Linked DNA regions of Oryzias latipes. The protein of the gene in region 1 purifies or fractionates together with the protein of each later gene. This does not show direct contact. Links are inferred from orthologs where the notes say so. Each region holds a gene or a part of one and is shown on either strand. Other genes may lie near its edges.

Evidence for each region. Proteins that work in one complex are often made in the same cells at the same time.
Region 2: the proteins of usp4 (region 1) and dcp1b purify together in Homo sapiens (co-immunoprecipitation; 3 studies listed by BioGRID and IntAct, with this or other methods). This does not show direct contact. The link is inferred for Oryzias latipes from reciprocal best matches to the Homo sapiens genes USP4 and DCP1B.

The regions. Positions count from the first base shown.
Region 1 is NC_019863.2:3,084,119-3,091,918, forward strand, and holds part of usp4 (ubiquitin carboxyl-terminal hydrolase 4), read right to left. Parts: intron 6,858-7,800; coding exon 6,730-6,857; intron 6,632-6,729; coding exon 6,501-6,631; intron 6,421-6,500; coding exon 6,294-6,420; intron 6,213-6,293; coding exon 6,067-6,212; intron 4,296-6,066; coding exon 4,234-4,295; intron 4,091-4,233; coding exon 3,941-4,090; intron 3,331-3,940; coding exon 3,216-3,330; intron 3,084-3,215; coding exon 2,910-3,083; intron 2,818-2,909; coding exon 2,659-2,817; intron 30-2,658; coding exon 1-29.
Region 2 is NC_019881.2:14,483,410-14,491,209, forward strand, and holds part of dcp1b (mRNA-decapping enzyme 1B), read right to left. Parts: coding exon 7,738-7,800; intron 7,379-7,737; coding exon 7,338-7,378; intron 7,157-7,337; coding exon 7,029-7,156; intron 4,882-7,028; coding exon of another isoform or gene 4,758-4,881; exon of another isoform or gene 3,119-4,757; intron 2,257-3,118; coding exon 2,190-2,256; intron 2,078-2,189; coding exon 1,912-2,077; intron 1,750-1,911; coding exon 1,651-1,749; intron 1,260-1,650; coding exon 482-1,259; intron 1-481. Other genes in the region: voltage-dependent L-type calcium channel subunit alpha-1C, read left to right, coding at 4,758-4,881. UniProt on the Homo sapiens protein: May play a role in the degradation of mRNAs, both in normal mRNA turnover and in nonsense-mediated mRNA decay. May remove the 7-methyl guanine cap structure from mRNA molecules, yielding a 5'-phosphorylated mRNA fragment and 7m-GDP.

The sequences.
Region 1 (7,800 bases):
TGGTTTTTCCAGGCCTCCTTGGCAACAATCTGCAATTCCACAACAATGGAAAATAGACATTAATAAGTTTCTAATCTACAGACAAAGTGTGAAATCAGAGGAGAACAACACAAAGTTGAAATTGTTCCTTTGGTTCCATAAGAGAGTGCAGACTTTCCAAACTAAAACACATCCAATTCTTGCATCATTTTTGAATTTACACTTTTGGTTTTTTTTAGATACCAAAGTGGGTAGAAATGGAAGATGAATGTCCCAGAATAAACCTCCTCAGGTCTGATAACAACACATTCCCACCACGGACGCACCAGGTGGACATAAATGGCCTCTCTGGCACCATCATACATTTGGCATCGAGTGCAGTTCATGGTCATTTCTCCCCATATGGACGGTGACTTTGGATTAATGCGGAGGGTTGCCGTTTAGTGAGAAATAAAGAAAACTCAAAGGGCTGCTGTGGAAACTAATGACACAAACATTCAAGATGTTCCTGCTGAACCGGAATCTAGAGGAACGATAAGATCCAGCTCTGACAGCAATCAGAAAGGCTTCAACAGGACAGAGAGGAAAAAAAAACATTCATGTAATCCACAAAGATTTCAAAATGTTCAGAAGGTCGCGTCAAAGTCCTGCTGAAGCTCTCAACACACTGCTTCCTCATTTTCCTGAAGATGAGTGAGGAAAACAAGGATGCCTTCAGTTAGAAATGTCTGGAAAAAATGCTTTTATAAAAAATAAAATTAAAGATTGAACACAAATAATTTTGTGATGGGTAAGAATGTTAAATCTGATGTTGAAGATGATGATGACAAATCACAGCACCATGATGTGACATTGGTGCGATGTAAGTGAAGTGGTCGTGCTGCATTTGTCTCCAGCATTCCTCTGTCTGACAGCAAAAGTTGAGAAAGCGGTATGAGTGGAAAACATTTCATCTTAAACAAAAGGAGGACTTGGAGGCTCAAGAGGAGAAAGTCGGACTGCAAAAAGAGACAGAAGAAAAAGGAGAAGTTGGAGCTTGATTCCCAAATTGCTGCAGCAAGACCCTCTGTGGTGGAGGCCAGTGTGGTTGATGACACGGTCTGGATGGCATCAATAACCAAAGGTTTATAAGAACAAGGTCAGGAATTAGATTGGAGCTTAAAGAAAAGGACCTCACATTCTGAAGCTGCAAAGATGCCACTAACTTCCTACCAACAAGATGTAAGACCAAAGACAAACACAAGCCCATTTCCTGAGGAGAAACTTCAACCCAACGGAGTCACACAAATCACCATTTTTCAAGTGGTTATTTGAAATGAACACTCACACTTTTCTCTCTCGTTTAAACTTTCAAAGCTCAAACATTCACAGAGAAATAAGTCCAGAATAATCAAATGTTAAGTAAAGTCTGATCTTGATGAAGAGGAATGTAACTCCAGCGAGCTGCACGTGCCGCATTTCTGTACAGAAGTTGTTGGACAAGATCAGCCATTCAGGAGGCAGAACACAGTGAAATGCATCTCGAATGCAACACTAAAACTCCACATGCAACTCATGAAAAGGCAGAATGAAACCAAAACAAAGTGTTTACAATGGTTAATGTCACGAGCTTTCCACTTCCTTTTGATAGAAATCCATTCGTATCATTTCTTACACCAGAGCTTTTGAACACTGAGGATGAGGAAGGAAATAAAGGTTAGGAGGACTTCTGAACAACAGATCAAGGGCAGCAAAGAGGTCAAAAGAAGCCGTCTTCAAATGAGGGTTCACGAGGCCAAAGTGGTTTTTGAGAGAACAATTGGAAAACTAGGAGCTGCATTTCCAGAAGAAGATGCAGGGTTGATGCTATATTGCTGAATGAAAATGAAACTTAAAGGGTAATAATTGGCACAAAATAATTTAAAGAAAGAAAGAAATGATCAAAGTTGACCATAAATCAAGTGAAAACAGCACAATAACAAAAAAGATATTTTGTGAAAAATGCCAGCGCCGGGTCTCGAACCAGGGAGCCTCTGCACCAAGGATTCCCCATGGATTTCCATGGAGGCAAAAATCCTGGAATATCTGGAAAAGTTCAAGGATTTGAAGGATCAAAAGTCACAGCTGGAAAAAGCTGAAAGAGCTGAACTTTAATAGTTGAACGGTTAAAATAGATGGAAAATTATAAAGTTAAAGAGAGAGAGAGTTAGAGTTAAGCGGCAAAAAATGGTGAAGATAATTTAACGAAGACATAAGGAGAAACAGGAAAACAATGGGTTGAATGTTTTCTAGCATTCTGGATGTCAGTAGAATCAGATACTAAATCCGGCTTTAATTGTAAAGGAACGTCCCTTAATTACAAACATCGTGCATTAAAAAGACTCAGAGGGAAACGAATGGTTTTGATGACAGAAAGCCGTTCTCCTTCAGGTAAAGGTGTCAAAGAAGAATAAGCCGTATTCTGTGGGGGGGCGACAGGGGACACACAAACACAGAATAATTCTGGAGCACTTTCATCACCCGTTTCTGTAACCACTGCACTGAGGAGGACAACATCTGCCAACACCAATTGGTTGTTACTGACACCATCCAGGATAACTTGTGTGGACAACCATCTTCAATCAGAATCAAAGCTCATCTAGATGAGCTGGTTACAACCCGGGGAAAAAAACCATCATGCGAGTATTGAAAGAGTTTCACCTCGTCTTCACGGCCCTCGGCATCTCTTAGGGCGAGGTAAGGCTTCTTTTTGACACGGTTCAGATCTTCATGGAGTCCGTCCAGCAAAAAGGCCAGCAACTCTTGCGAGTCTTGCTGCTGGTACCCTGAAAACTGAGGAGCAAATCGCCCAACCTGCGTCTGGAGAGGAGGACAAACCACAACGGTGACTTCATAATCATTTTTGCCCTTTCGACATCCTTCCCTGAAATAGCTGCTTAAAAAAAACTCACTTTAAACGTCCGTGGTGCCACATAACTGCTGCGGCTCAGCCACATCTGCTTTACGAGGTCTGCGTAGGCCTCGGCGATCTCGCCCCTCATTCCCAGCGGATTCTCACGGTTAATCTCTGCCTCGTACTGGTCATCCAGGAAGTACTCTGTGAGGGGAGGTGCATTGCTCAGGCACTGGAGGCAGAGGGGAAGTTCAGAACAAGTTAATAATAATTACTCAAAAGGTTTAAAACAATGCTATTGCTTTAACATTTTTTAATTAAAAGACATTGGTTTAATAGGTTTTTTATTTCAGTTTTTAAATACCTGGAGAGCAGAGTTCATGAAGCATGTGTTCCCCAAATTACTGAGACCGCAAAGGCCAGGCTGTGCTTGGGATTCTCTGTAGCTGTACGAGTTATACGAGTTGTAGCTCCCCAACCTGTGTGGAGAAAAGATCTGTTACTCTTGTTCCCCGAAGGTTACAAAAACCTCACAAAGTTAATAAAAACAAAAATAAAGGACTAGCAGGCTCAAACTCTGGCACTTCTCAGATTTCCAGCATTTACAACTGATTCAATGTTTCATAGGAATGAATATGCTCCAGTTTTAACCAAATAAACTTAAACTTTGTAAAGAAAATCTTTTGTTTATTCATACAGATAAAGGGAAAAATGATCAAATACAACAGACTTAAAAAAAAGATATACATCATCATATTTATGCTCTGCTTTCCAAAGCAGAGCATAAATAATGAAATATTTAGTAAATATTTAATAAAAGCAAATACTTTTCAAACATCAAAAACAGCTTTACCAGTTCTTTTTTCTAAAGAGTGAACCCTGATGGCAACGTGTCTAAAACGTTAACCAATAAAACCTTCCAAATAAATAAAAACAAATAAAATAATCATGGATGGTTATCATATGATCACATAGCTACATAACTTCAGACATTTCATACTAGCTCGCTTAGAAATTGGTAACAAAATGTACAAATATTCCCAAACTTTGCAACTGAAGATAAGTGAGGTGAAGGAGGAAGTGTGGTACCTGTTGCTAGAGGAAGTGCTGCTGTTGTTTAGTGTGTATCCAGGGCTACAGCTGCTGTCTCCATTGGTTGCAGTTGGTGATATACTCATGGACGAATTTGAAGACAGCTTTGGGGAGGTAGAGAAATTTCTGGATGGCGTTGTACTGGATCTAACCATCAAAACAAAAACAAATTCTAACTTTGTAGATTCCAAAATCACTAACAATGTCTCTGCACATTCAAGCACGTCCAGCTGGGGGACTGGAGGAAACACATTTGTCTTCACCAACTAAAACAGTGGCCGTTTACTCACTTGGGGTGTGAAGCCTGTCTGGGCCAAGTGCCGTCCTCATTTCTGCGCTCGATCACAAGCACCTGTGTAAATATGCAGGGCTTCATAAACTTATTGTCGCACAAGACTTTTTTTAAAAATTAAATACTGAAAATGCAAAAGAATTTTACACCAACACAATTAATGTTTAAGGCATGATGTGAAAACGTGTTTGACTCTACTTCAAAGTTATGTGAACCAAAGAAGAATCCCTTTTCTGTTCTCCGAGACCATCATCCATCCACTTAACCCACTTTATCCCTTTCGGGTTGCTGGAATTGTCTCTGTTAACGTTGGGCGAAGGCCGGTACACCCTGGACGGATTGCCAGTCTGTCGCAGGCCACACACTCACTCACACACACCTGGTGATATTGTAGAGTAACCTAAATTGCCCTAAGAAACATGTTTTTGGACTATGGGAGGAAGCCGGAGAAAACCCACACATGCATGAGGAGAACATGCAAACTCCACACAGGAAGATCCAAGACGGGATTCAAACCACGACCATCAATGTTTGCAGAACCACACAATAAAAAAATGCTTACAATGCAGTGCAGCAGGATAGATGCAACAACTTTATGTCCAACCTCTCCCAACGGACTCAGTCAAATGTTGCACTTCAGGACTAGGGGTGTTAGAAAAAATTGATTCGGTAATATATCGCGATAGTTAATTTGGCGATACTTGTATCAATTCAAAATGCTGCCAGGACGATTTTTATGTAATTATTTCTGAACGTCCTTTAGTGCCTGACTCTTGTTTTCCACTTTGCCCTCCGACCGCTAGTTGGTAGCAGAGAACAAGGAGCCTCTTTGAGCAGCTCTACTCTGCACAAAACAGGAAGACCGCAGCTGGAGGCAGCTTGTTTCGTTGTTATGAGACATGAACTACTTAGTTTTTACTTGGGATGGATACCGAACTGAAGCTCTGTGCCATGTTGCTGCCCGTATCAACATGGTAACGCGGATTGTGGTGCTTTGTAGTGGACTCCGATAAGAACGACTGAAGCAGTGCAGCTGCACAGCGGCTGATAGGATAATGCACTTAGCATCAACCAAAGTGGGCCTGCAGAACCTCCCAGCAATGGATTCTAGTTTAGCGACCTGATCGAAAAAATGCTGACATCGAGGCGATAAGCGTTAGTTTATTTCCGCATGAGAAAGCGTGGCTGCAGTGCAGATGTGTAAACAAAGCATCTTCGCCACATTAAAACAACTCTCCTTCATCCTGTCACGCAGCGTCATCATCACACTTTATTGTTCCTGAAAGAATTAGTATTTTGTTTTTACCTTTATTTTTTCTGAACCGTTTCAAAGTACTGGAGAAGCTACATTAAGATATATTTAAAATAAAAAGCGCTTTATTTCCCCAATCATACTTTTGGAACATTATTGGTTAAGGCACATTCATTCTTTATTTTTAATATATTGAAATATATTTTGTTGTGGAAATCAGAAAATGTTGAATGTTCCCTTTCTAGATTTTAAGTTATCAAAACAAAAGCACTACAAATTTGCCTGGGTTAAAGCGACTTATATATGAGATACAGTTGCAGAACTTAACATTGTGATCATTAAATAAACTCAATTTGACCATTTTATTACAATGAAAGACGTATTGAAATTCAGGTAGAGTTTTTTCTAAGTCATATTTTTAAAAGAAAGAGAACAAATGTGTTCCATGACAATATCGGGATACGTATCCTATCGCCAGACTCTTGCCAATACACACCCCTATTCAGGACTGATTATGGGAGTGCATTAAACATGCGTAGCAGTTACATGTGTGACTTAAATCCTGCTGGTTTTCCTTACCTGTCCCTGAAAAAGCCCGGCGTCCTGTACAGTGCTGTCTGGCTTGTTCAGTTGCTCATAGGTGTTGCTCATGTATTTGTTCCAGAGTCTGGTCTCTTTCTCTGATGGGATTTCAAACAACGTCCGCATCTCCTTCTCTATAGTGTCTGAAAACATAAAAAGCATGATAAACAGTGAGAGGAGACGCTGCTTACCCGTGGCTAAAGTCAAAATTGTGATGACCTCACCTATAGTATCTGCTTTGCTAAAATGGCGTGTTACAACGTTGTCCATGTTGTCATTCTCACACAAGTTGAGCTCCAGCAAATAGACTTCCACTTTACAGTGCTTAACAAACATGCCATGCTCAACCACCTAGGGAAAAAGAAGGAGACATTTGGAAGAGCTGTCAACACATTCAGCATTATAACACAGCCCCATTTCTACGGCATTACCTTCCTGACGATGGGTCTTTGGCCTTCCAGACAGCCATACCAGCTGACAAGCTTATTCCACGCCTCAGTGGGCACTAAAACATAGTCCAGCTCATCTATGAGGTGCTCTTTAAGAGCTTGGGTCTCTTGGTCTTTAAAGAGAAAAACACGAGTACAACTTTTATCTGTCACGAATAAAGTAAAAATGAAAACCAACAAATGTTTATGTTTTTACAAGAAGCAGGTTTACCTGAGAACAGCCCCGAGTTATCAATTGGTCCTGGATAGAGGCTGCGTTCGCCAACGTTGTACATATCCCAACTGTCAAATCCCACATACTTTTTCCACTGTTTGAACCACCGACTGTCTATAAGAAACCTAAACGACAAAGGTGACCGGTTAAGAAAAACATCTATAGCACTTCATCACATCTGGGCATTCGGAATAGTTTGTCTTTTAACCTGCAGTTGTTTTATTTCACTTTAGTTTATCTGGATAGAAAAACATTAGGGAGCAAAGTGGTGGGTGGACACTGTACTTCAAGTTCTTACTTGGAACATTAAGAAACAACAAAGTACCTTAGCATTTACATATATAGTAACAGAAAGCCAGTTTGACTTAATCTAATGTAAAGAATCTCCTTAGGTTAATAGGCTTTCTCTGACTTATTTATACTGTTAAAAACCAAGTCAATCTCATGATTAACAAAACAAAATACAAGGAATAATAACCACACCCACAGACTAAGAATTTGCTGGCTTACCATGTTACATAATTACTTGAAGCCAAGAAGATAATATCTGATGGTGCAGTGCCTTCCTTTCACTTAGTCCGCCCTAATAGCATTTTTAGCTAATAAACTAATTAATATTACAAAGAAGTTCGAAGGAGCTAAAGCAGAAATGTCACTACTAACAGGACGTGGCGTTCTTTCTCATGTCCCAGTAGAAACTTACTTGCCACCTATAACAAAGTGCTTTAAGTTTAAGTAGAATGGGAGTCAATCAGAGGCCTACCCCGAACAACAACAGCCAGATCATCATGATCGGCTGGCTTCAATACTCCCCAAAACATGTCAGAATTCAAGTACAAAATACAGAAGAACATGGGCAGGGAAACCTTTCAAAGACTAGGATTCAGCTTTTTCAGTCCAACGACAGTACGTTGTACCGAAATGGTAAATCTTGACTTATTAGCAGCTAGCATGCTAATCGTGTGAACATTAGCCTGCTAACCGCTTTCCGTTTCATCCTGTCGTTGAAGTCTTCGATGCTAACCTTACTTAGCATGTCTGCACTTCCTGTTTCTCGTAAGCTAGCAG
Region 2 (7,800 bases), on another chromosome or scaffold:
TGCAAGTAAAACCAGGTCGAACTTTGACCAATCAGGGACTCTGTATGGATGGAGACCCTTATAATTCATTGAGGTGCCCACGGTTTGAAAAACTGATCATGAGAAATGAATAATGACAGTTGGAGTCCGGACATGCACTAGTAAATGGAACAAAAAGAAAAAAAGAAGAAAAAGAAGAAGTCCCTCCCTGATTGTTCAGCGTGAACACCGTGGGCTAAATGTGTTGAAGAAGCCCCATTTAACTCGTTCTTGAATTGGCATCAAACACCTGGAGTGTTTGTTGCTTAAAACATTGATGAATTAACATTTTGAAAGTAGAATAATAATCCTTGTCAGTAAAGGTGATCTCATTTTTATAAATTTGCTCCAACTATTAAGTATTAAATTTGTTTTAAAATGGGTTTACTATATACGTAAATTCGTTTTACATGTTGGGATGTCGTGCTTTTGTTTATGTGATGCGGCAGAAACCATTTCTCACCTGTTCCCAGTGAAGCTGCTGCTGTTTGGCTGCTGTGCTGTTCTTCTGTTTGGGACTCTGGAAGTCTGAAAAACAGCTGCTGGCTTTGCTGTACTTGAAGGTGGGGGCACGAGGCAGACTCTCCTGCTACAAAATGGGGGGAGAGGTGAGAGTGAGCCTGAAGAGGGGGTGGATTGGAGCAACAAGCGGTGGGCCGGACAGCGGAGGAAAAGGTGGTGGCCAGTTGAGGAAGTGAATGACTTTGAAAAAGCTTCTTTATTGGATCATGGTGAAGCTGCTGCTGCTGCTGGTGATGATGATGATGGTGGTGGTGCTGCTGATGGTGATGATGATACAGGTGGTGGTGTTGGTCCAGGGGCACCCCATTATCACACAGTCGGTTCTCCGGGGACTCAGAGACGGTTTGCAGGCCGCCTCCAACACTCCTCTGGCCCTGCATCAGCTTTGCAATGGCCGGGCAGTGTTGGGGTTCGTTCTGCAGAGGTTGAGTGGAGGGGGAGGGACTGAGCAGAACAGCTACAACGTTTCCACTCTCTTCACCAGGTAGTGGCCTGACATCTCCATCTGAGCCCCCGGCAAGAGCAATGTGTCCAACAGCTGAGGTGACCGCATCGTCGTAGGTCAAAGTGCGAGCCACCGGGGGGCGAGAGACTTTTCCTGTGGTTGTGGCAGCCCTCCCAGCAGGAGGGGGAGCAGATATAGAGGAGTGCGGTGTGTGATGCTGAGATCCAAACAGGGTCGCCAAAGAAAGAGCCTTGGGCTCAGAACCCTCACTGCTCTAGATTTAAACAAAAGGAAATGTGTAATATAATATAATATAATATAATATAATATAATATAATATAATATAATATAATATAATATAATATAATATAATATAATATAATATAATATAATATAATATAATATAATATAATATAATATAATATAATATAATATAATATAATATAATATTATATAATATTATATTATATAATATAATATAATATAATATAATATTATATTATATTATATTATATAATATTATATAATAAGTAATGGATGTCAGTTAGAGAAACCAAACAAAAATAAGGTATTTCACTGAATAAAAGCTGACCAAAAGCTACATAAAAAAAAAATGTTTTAAGCAAAAACTGGAACTCAGACACAGAATCTAAACGTAATCATACCTGAGTGTGTGGTTTAACGGGTATTGGTTTGATGAGGTTGGGGTTTCCAAAAAGGACACTGCTCCCACCAATCTCTTTTGGTTCTGAGGGAGGTTTTTCCTGAGAAAACAAAGAGGAAATACTGTACATGCTCTTTTATTTTGAAGAAAAACTACAACAAAGAAATGAACAAAGCGAAACATTTTGTTGATCTATTTGACAAAAATGTACTGATAACTGATGTTTCGTTTGATAATCTTTCAGTCTTTGAAGGTAGCATACTTTGTCGAATTCGCTGCGCGCTTTGGTCAACATCTGGATGATGTCGACTGGCTTTGTTTTACTGCTTCCTCCTCCTTTTCCAGCTCCTATTATTCCTTCTCTTCCTCTTCCTGGTGACAACCACCCATCCTGGTTATGAGCCAGGAGCTGCTCCTGATGGGTCAGACTGGAAGGACGCAAAAAAAAAAAAAATCACTACATTTAAATATTTATTTCTTTTAACACGACACAATTTCAGCTTTGCTAAAGATTAACACGTTAAACACAAAACTACTTACATCTTCATCCTCTGGGCAACACGTTGACAGTCTTCCTTATCATAGAACCAAATCCCATGAATAACCACTGAAAGGACAAAACAGAAAAGAGACTTATATTTCTGAATTAATATTATACTAAAAAAAAGAAAACTAATAAAAGAACAGTCACAGCCAAAAAACAAAACAAAAACATGTTAACAGACCAGCTGTTTTTTTCTTAAATGCAATTTTACAAAAAGGTCAGCAGACAGCAGAATGAGCTTATGGATGCAGCATTTCCGCTACAACCAAATCAAATCAAAGCAGATTTTCAAAAGTTGAATTTTGATGCTGTGACATTTAAACAGACATCAGATATGTAACTATTAGCATTGCTGAAGAAATCATTCTGTTTCCATATCAAGTGGAAAGAAGCCTGTAGTCCCATTGGACGTTTGAACATGTGCCTCTGAAAGCGCCTTAGCTTCATAAACATGTTCAGTGAGCATGTGGAAAAATGTGAATTCTGCACATCAGAGAGCTAGTAAGACAGCTAGCAAATCAAAATTATTTTATTTTATTTCCTAGTGTAAATTAAAATGATCAGCATGAAATAAAAACATCTGTGAGGAAAATAGTAATTTGCTTTTTACCCCTTAATAAGTTCCATTCATATAACATTTATTGAACTTTTACAAGGAAATTCTGCCTTTTGAATGTTAAAAACCTTTAAGAAAAATAAGAGTTTATGAGTAAAATGTTAGAAAACTTAAACAGAAGGAAAGAATTACAAGTTTAGAAAAAATGAAAGATACTTGAAATAACTTTAATCCGACACTGAGATGAAAAAAGAATATTTGACATCTTAACCTCTTTAGACCCGAGCTCTTGTTTGATAGCTTTTTTTATTTCGTAGCCACGGGCCCACAGGTAATCAGAATGAACTACAGTGAAAATAAAACCCACAATGTGATGTCATCGTATGTGGACGCAAGGTCACAAGAGGCTAATATACTTTCTAAACTCATTCTAAACTTGTATACGATGCAGCATTAAACAGGAAACAGAAGAACTTTTCAAGCGAGAGCTTCACAGACAGCCCATATTCTCCCACAGACAGACCGACCGACCGCAGAGGTCACTGTGGATGAAGGAAACAGACAGCGGGGGGAGGCAGAGACACACACACAGAGTTAAGTTGAGCATGGGAAAAAATCAGCCCGGGACCAAATAAGCAACTGCAGAGGGGGACTGACTGGTGGAGTGGGAGCAACTGAGTGCTCACAGGGGACAGAGAAACACAGTCGAAGTCAGGGAGCCGGAAAATAGAAAACAAAAATGAGCAAGACGCTGAGAGAGAAACAAGGAAGTTTTACCAGGTGTGTTAGTCCTTCAGAAAAGGAACACGTCGTTCTAAAATCTCCATGTAATGAATTCTAAAAACACGACTACACTGTGACATGTCTGAAGCAGGATCATGTCCTGCAACACCTCAGCTATAAACTAACAAACAGACTGGTCAAAAGTAAAGAGGACACGATTGAAAAATCGCAGAAAATGCTTTTGACTAAAGATAAACAGCTACGGTGGCTTTCTGAGCACAAAAAAGGCTGAAAAGAGCAAAATTGACACAGGAGGGCGGGAAAAGGAACCACCAGTACCAAAATCTGAGCAGAAGGAAAAAGAGGAGGCGGGGGGATACATTCTACTCACTGGACACTGAAGAGAACGAAGAAAAAGAAAGAGGAGTATTTAAAATCTGGAGCCAAGAACCAAATCCACCCGAATGAGAAACCAGGAAGAGTAAATTAGCGGCAGTGTTTAACTAATAACACCAGAGATTGTACTTCAAAGTTGGAGCAAAACTCTGTGATTGCGAGATCCGCTCCTTAAAGCCTTCGGGACACGGACTTAATCAAAACAGTGAGCATATGTGATGACTCCTCTACAGTAAAAGTCACGGGACTTGCGTGTTTATCTGTATGTATCTGAAAAAGCACGTTTAGATGGGATTTAGCAACACGGTGGTTGTGTTGAGCTGCAACACAAAGGGAACCTTAAGATAAATTTAAGACTTTTATTCCGCTTAAACTTACTATAACTTACATTTTTGAAGGACTAATGTTGCCAGAGACAGTTTATGGCTGCATTATGAGGTCACGTTTTTGATTAAATGTTCAACTATTTGTCATGATGACCACTATCATTTCATTCTCACTGTTTCCTGGTGGAGGTTAGACTGTTCTAATAGTTAAAACACATCCTTATAGAGCTTTCCTTACATGAAACACACTAACTGTGTTTGGAGGAATGGAATCATGACAATGTGGGAGGAGTAGACACTGACATGTACGGCTTCTGAAACTTCGGAGGAAAGACGAGATTATTGTGTCGATTTTGCATCTTCGGCTGGAATGCAGGCATCTCGGCTGCCTCTCAGGTTCAAATGAAAGGAGGGAGCACCACCGTTCCTGTGGCTGACTAAACCAATCCTGCACCACCTTCTTCTGAAGAAGAAACACTTTTGTTTTATCGAACCTGCAGGAGGACTTTGTGGATTCTTTTAATTCAAGATTATTTCTATGCAAGTGGAGAAAGACAGAAACCATGATTAGAGGTCTGTTTCAGAGAAAACCGAAACATGAGAGGCTGAAGGAGGAACCTGAAGTCCGATTTAAGGGCTTGTTGGTGTCAGAGAGAGACCTGGGATATACATACGTCCGACCTGGAGGTAAGAATCTACAGACAACACATTAAAAATGGTCTCAGGATGTGTCGGCTCAGATCTACATATGCGTGAAGGTGCAGCTGATAACACAAAATATAAATAAAATGACCAACAGAATAACCAGAAACTAAACAATGCTGCATATCAATTTTAGATTTAGAGAAAAGAATTCAAGTAATTTCTGCTGAAAAACATCAATACTGTCAAAAATGTTCATGTGAGACATTTATTTTTATTTCTTTATATATTTCTTTATATTCTTAGAAAATAAAAAAAAACACTGAACAGAAACATTAAAAGAAAATAAGACAGATCCGTGGAAAAAAAAATACTGTATACTGAAATTGAGAGCTGAAAGACTAATTTTTTTTTAGAATATTGGTGTGACTAAAAAAAAAAAAACAGCTGTAAAGACTTATAAAAAAAATTAAACTTGAAGGCTTCAGGCTGGAAAAATAGCATTTTGTTCTGTCCAAACATTTTTGTTCTGTGACCTATCCACGCAGTTCATTTTTAGCCCGGGCTGCCACTTTGTGCCAACCACCGTTCCAGGAAGTTGCGGCAGCACTTAGGCCGACATGTTTATCTAATGATAAGATTCCACGACCCCTCCACCAAGAGGTCACAATGCACTGGCACACTAATGCCAGCAAGCTATAAATCACATTTTCTCCAATAAAACCACGTTTTCTGTCTACTAAAAGTGTTCTTTCGTTATGTCATCTATGTAGAAATTTGGTAAACATTAGTTTGAGCAGCTATTATAGGGTAGGGGGTATTACTTTTGATGGGTCTCACTTGATCTTTCTTTTTATCCTCTTATGTACATTAGCTTATGGCCGCTCTGTAAATTTGGTTCTACAGTGTCACATCTACAAACGCAAAGAGTCTCTTTGAAGCCAAACAGTTCCTCTAAATCCTAGGAGACACACTGATAAAAATCAGTCTGATAACAACCATTACTCATGTCTACTTTTGAGCTCTTTTATTATTCATCTTAAACCAGAGCAATCAGAGCAAACTAACATTATGCTTGACCATAACGTTTGCTTTGAACCCACCATTCATTTACTTACATAAACCAATCTAATCTGTTCATTGTAACAGCAGACACACTAATCAGCTGTAACCTGATTACTGGTTTCAAGTGTTTTTACGCTTCGTGCTTCCCACAAGCGAGTCGGTTCAAATCTGTTCCTTGTTGCAGATGCTCCTACCGCAAACCGGCTATTTTGTGTTTGTTAGCTTCTGAATAGAAAGTCTAAATATTGTGCTTTCTGTTTCACCATGTTCCAAGTAAATGTAAAATAACAAAAATGAATAAACCAAACAATTTCTTTCAGTACAAAGATCCGGCTGCATGTCATTGTATATGACGGGGAGGCCAAGACGACAGGAGCCTTCTCTGTGCTCGTCAGCTACTTCTAAGCTAGCGTGTGTTTAGATTATCAGTGACTGTGGAAGTGTATCTAATCTCAGCTGGCTGCTTTTGTGGTGCTGTCAGACTCTTGTCCCACAGGCACACTTTAGAATGTGATTGTGTGTGAGAGCGCCCGATGCAGGTCTCAGAGAGTTGGTGATAAAACAAACTGAAATAACTCTGCTGAAACACCTTAAATGGAGTCACCGATTCATCCACCAGTCACTAACGTGGTCCTTCCTATCTTATTTGATGTCAAAATAATGTTTTAGTCATAAAAATACGGCTGCGTTTGACGCAACAACATTTTTTTTGAAGATATGTCATTCTTTTAGCATTTCTAATACCCTGCACTTTTGTGTGCTATTCAAAAGAAATAAACATAGTAATTATGGCTTAGTAAAACATTTTAGGTCCATAAAAAAAACCCATAAAAATCTAACTATGATCTTTGGTTATGTGGGCCCGAACTGACCTATGCTAAGAAAATAAATATACTGAAACACATGTAAACAACCATTAATTAATTGCTATTATTATTCATATATTAGGATTTTAATAATATGCATCTGTTTATGCAATAAACTCCAGAGGAAGAGGGTCACAGCAATAACTAAAATATGTAATGCAGCAGCTTGCATTGTATTTAAGACTGTCATGCACAGCAAACGCTGAAAGAATAGGACAGAAACTGGAAATCTGTGGGCTATTTTTATATATTCTGACTTACATCGTGCGTTGCGATAAAGCAGGAAAGGGTCCTGAAGCTGAAAGTCCAAGTCTTTTGTGATCGGCTCTGTCAGATTGTCCATGCTGAGACGGTTCATAATGGTAAATCCGTGTCTTGGAGATGCCAATCTGAATTAAAACAGCATGCAAAATGACAAAAATAATAACTATCAAAACTCAGGAAAAAACAAGGTATTACACACAGTGGTACATTATCTCCCTAATTGATATTAAAATAAAAATAAAATAATTGAATGCAATGGATGACCTCAAATAAACCCTAATCACAGACTTTAGGTCTTTTCTTTACCTTGTGTAAATAAAAAGAGTGCCTTCAACTTCCGTCTTCTCCTGAAAAGTAACAACAATCACGTCAAAAAAAGTGGGGGACAAATGTGTATTTTAATTCTGTTTTTTATTAAACATCCTAGGTTGCTACTTTGTAAACAAAGCTAAATAAAGCAGTACAAAGTATGAGGATGGAAATTGTACCAGTGTGCTTGAGTAAATTAGTGTGTAGTCTCGTGATGTGGTAAAACTCTATACTAGTAGTTAAAAAATGATCTATAACTTCAATTTTGTTTTTGTTTTCAAAAATCAACTTCAAAGCAATCACTTTTAACTTAACTCAGTAATACTAGAACGAAAACGCTGTAATTTGAAGCTAAGCTAAGTTAGCACAGAATAGCATTTGTCAGGAAAAAACGTACCCACTCATTTGTTCTGTTGTTATATGTATACAGAGCGACTTGGCTGGCCACATCGACAATATT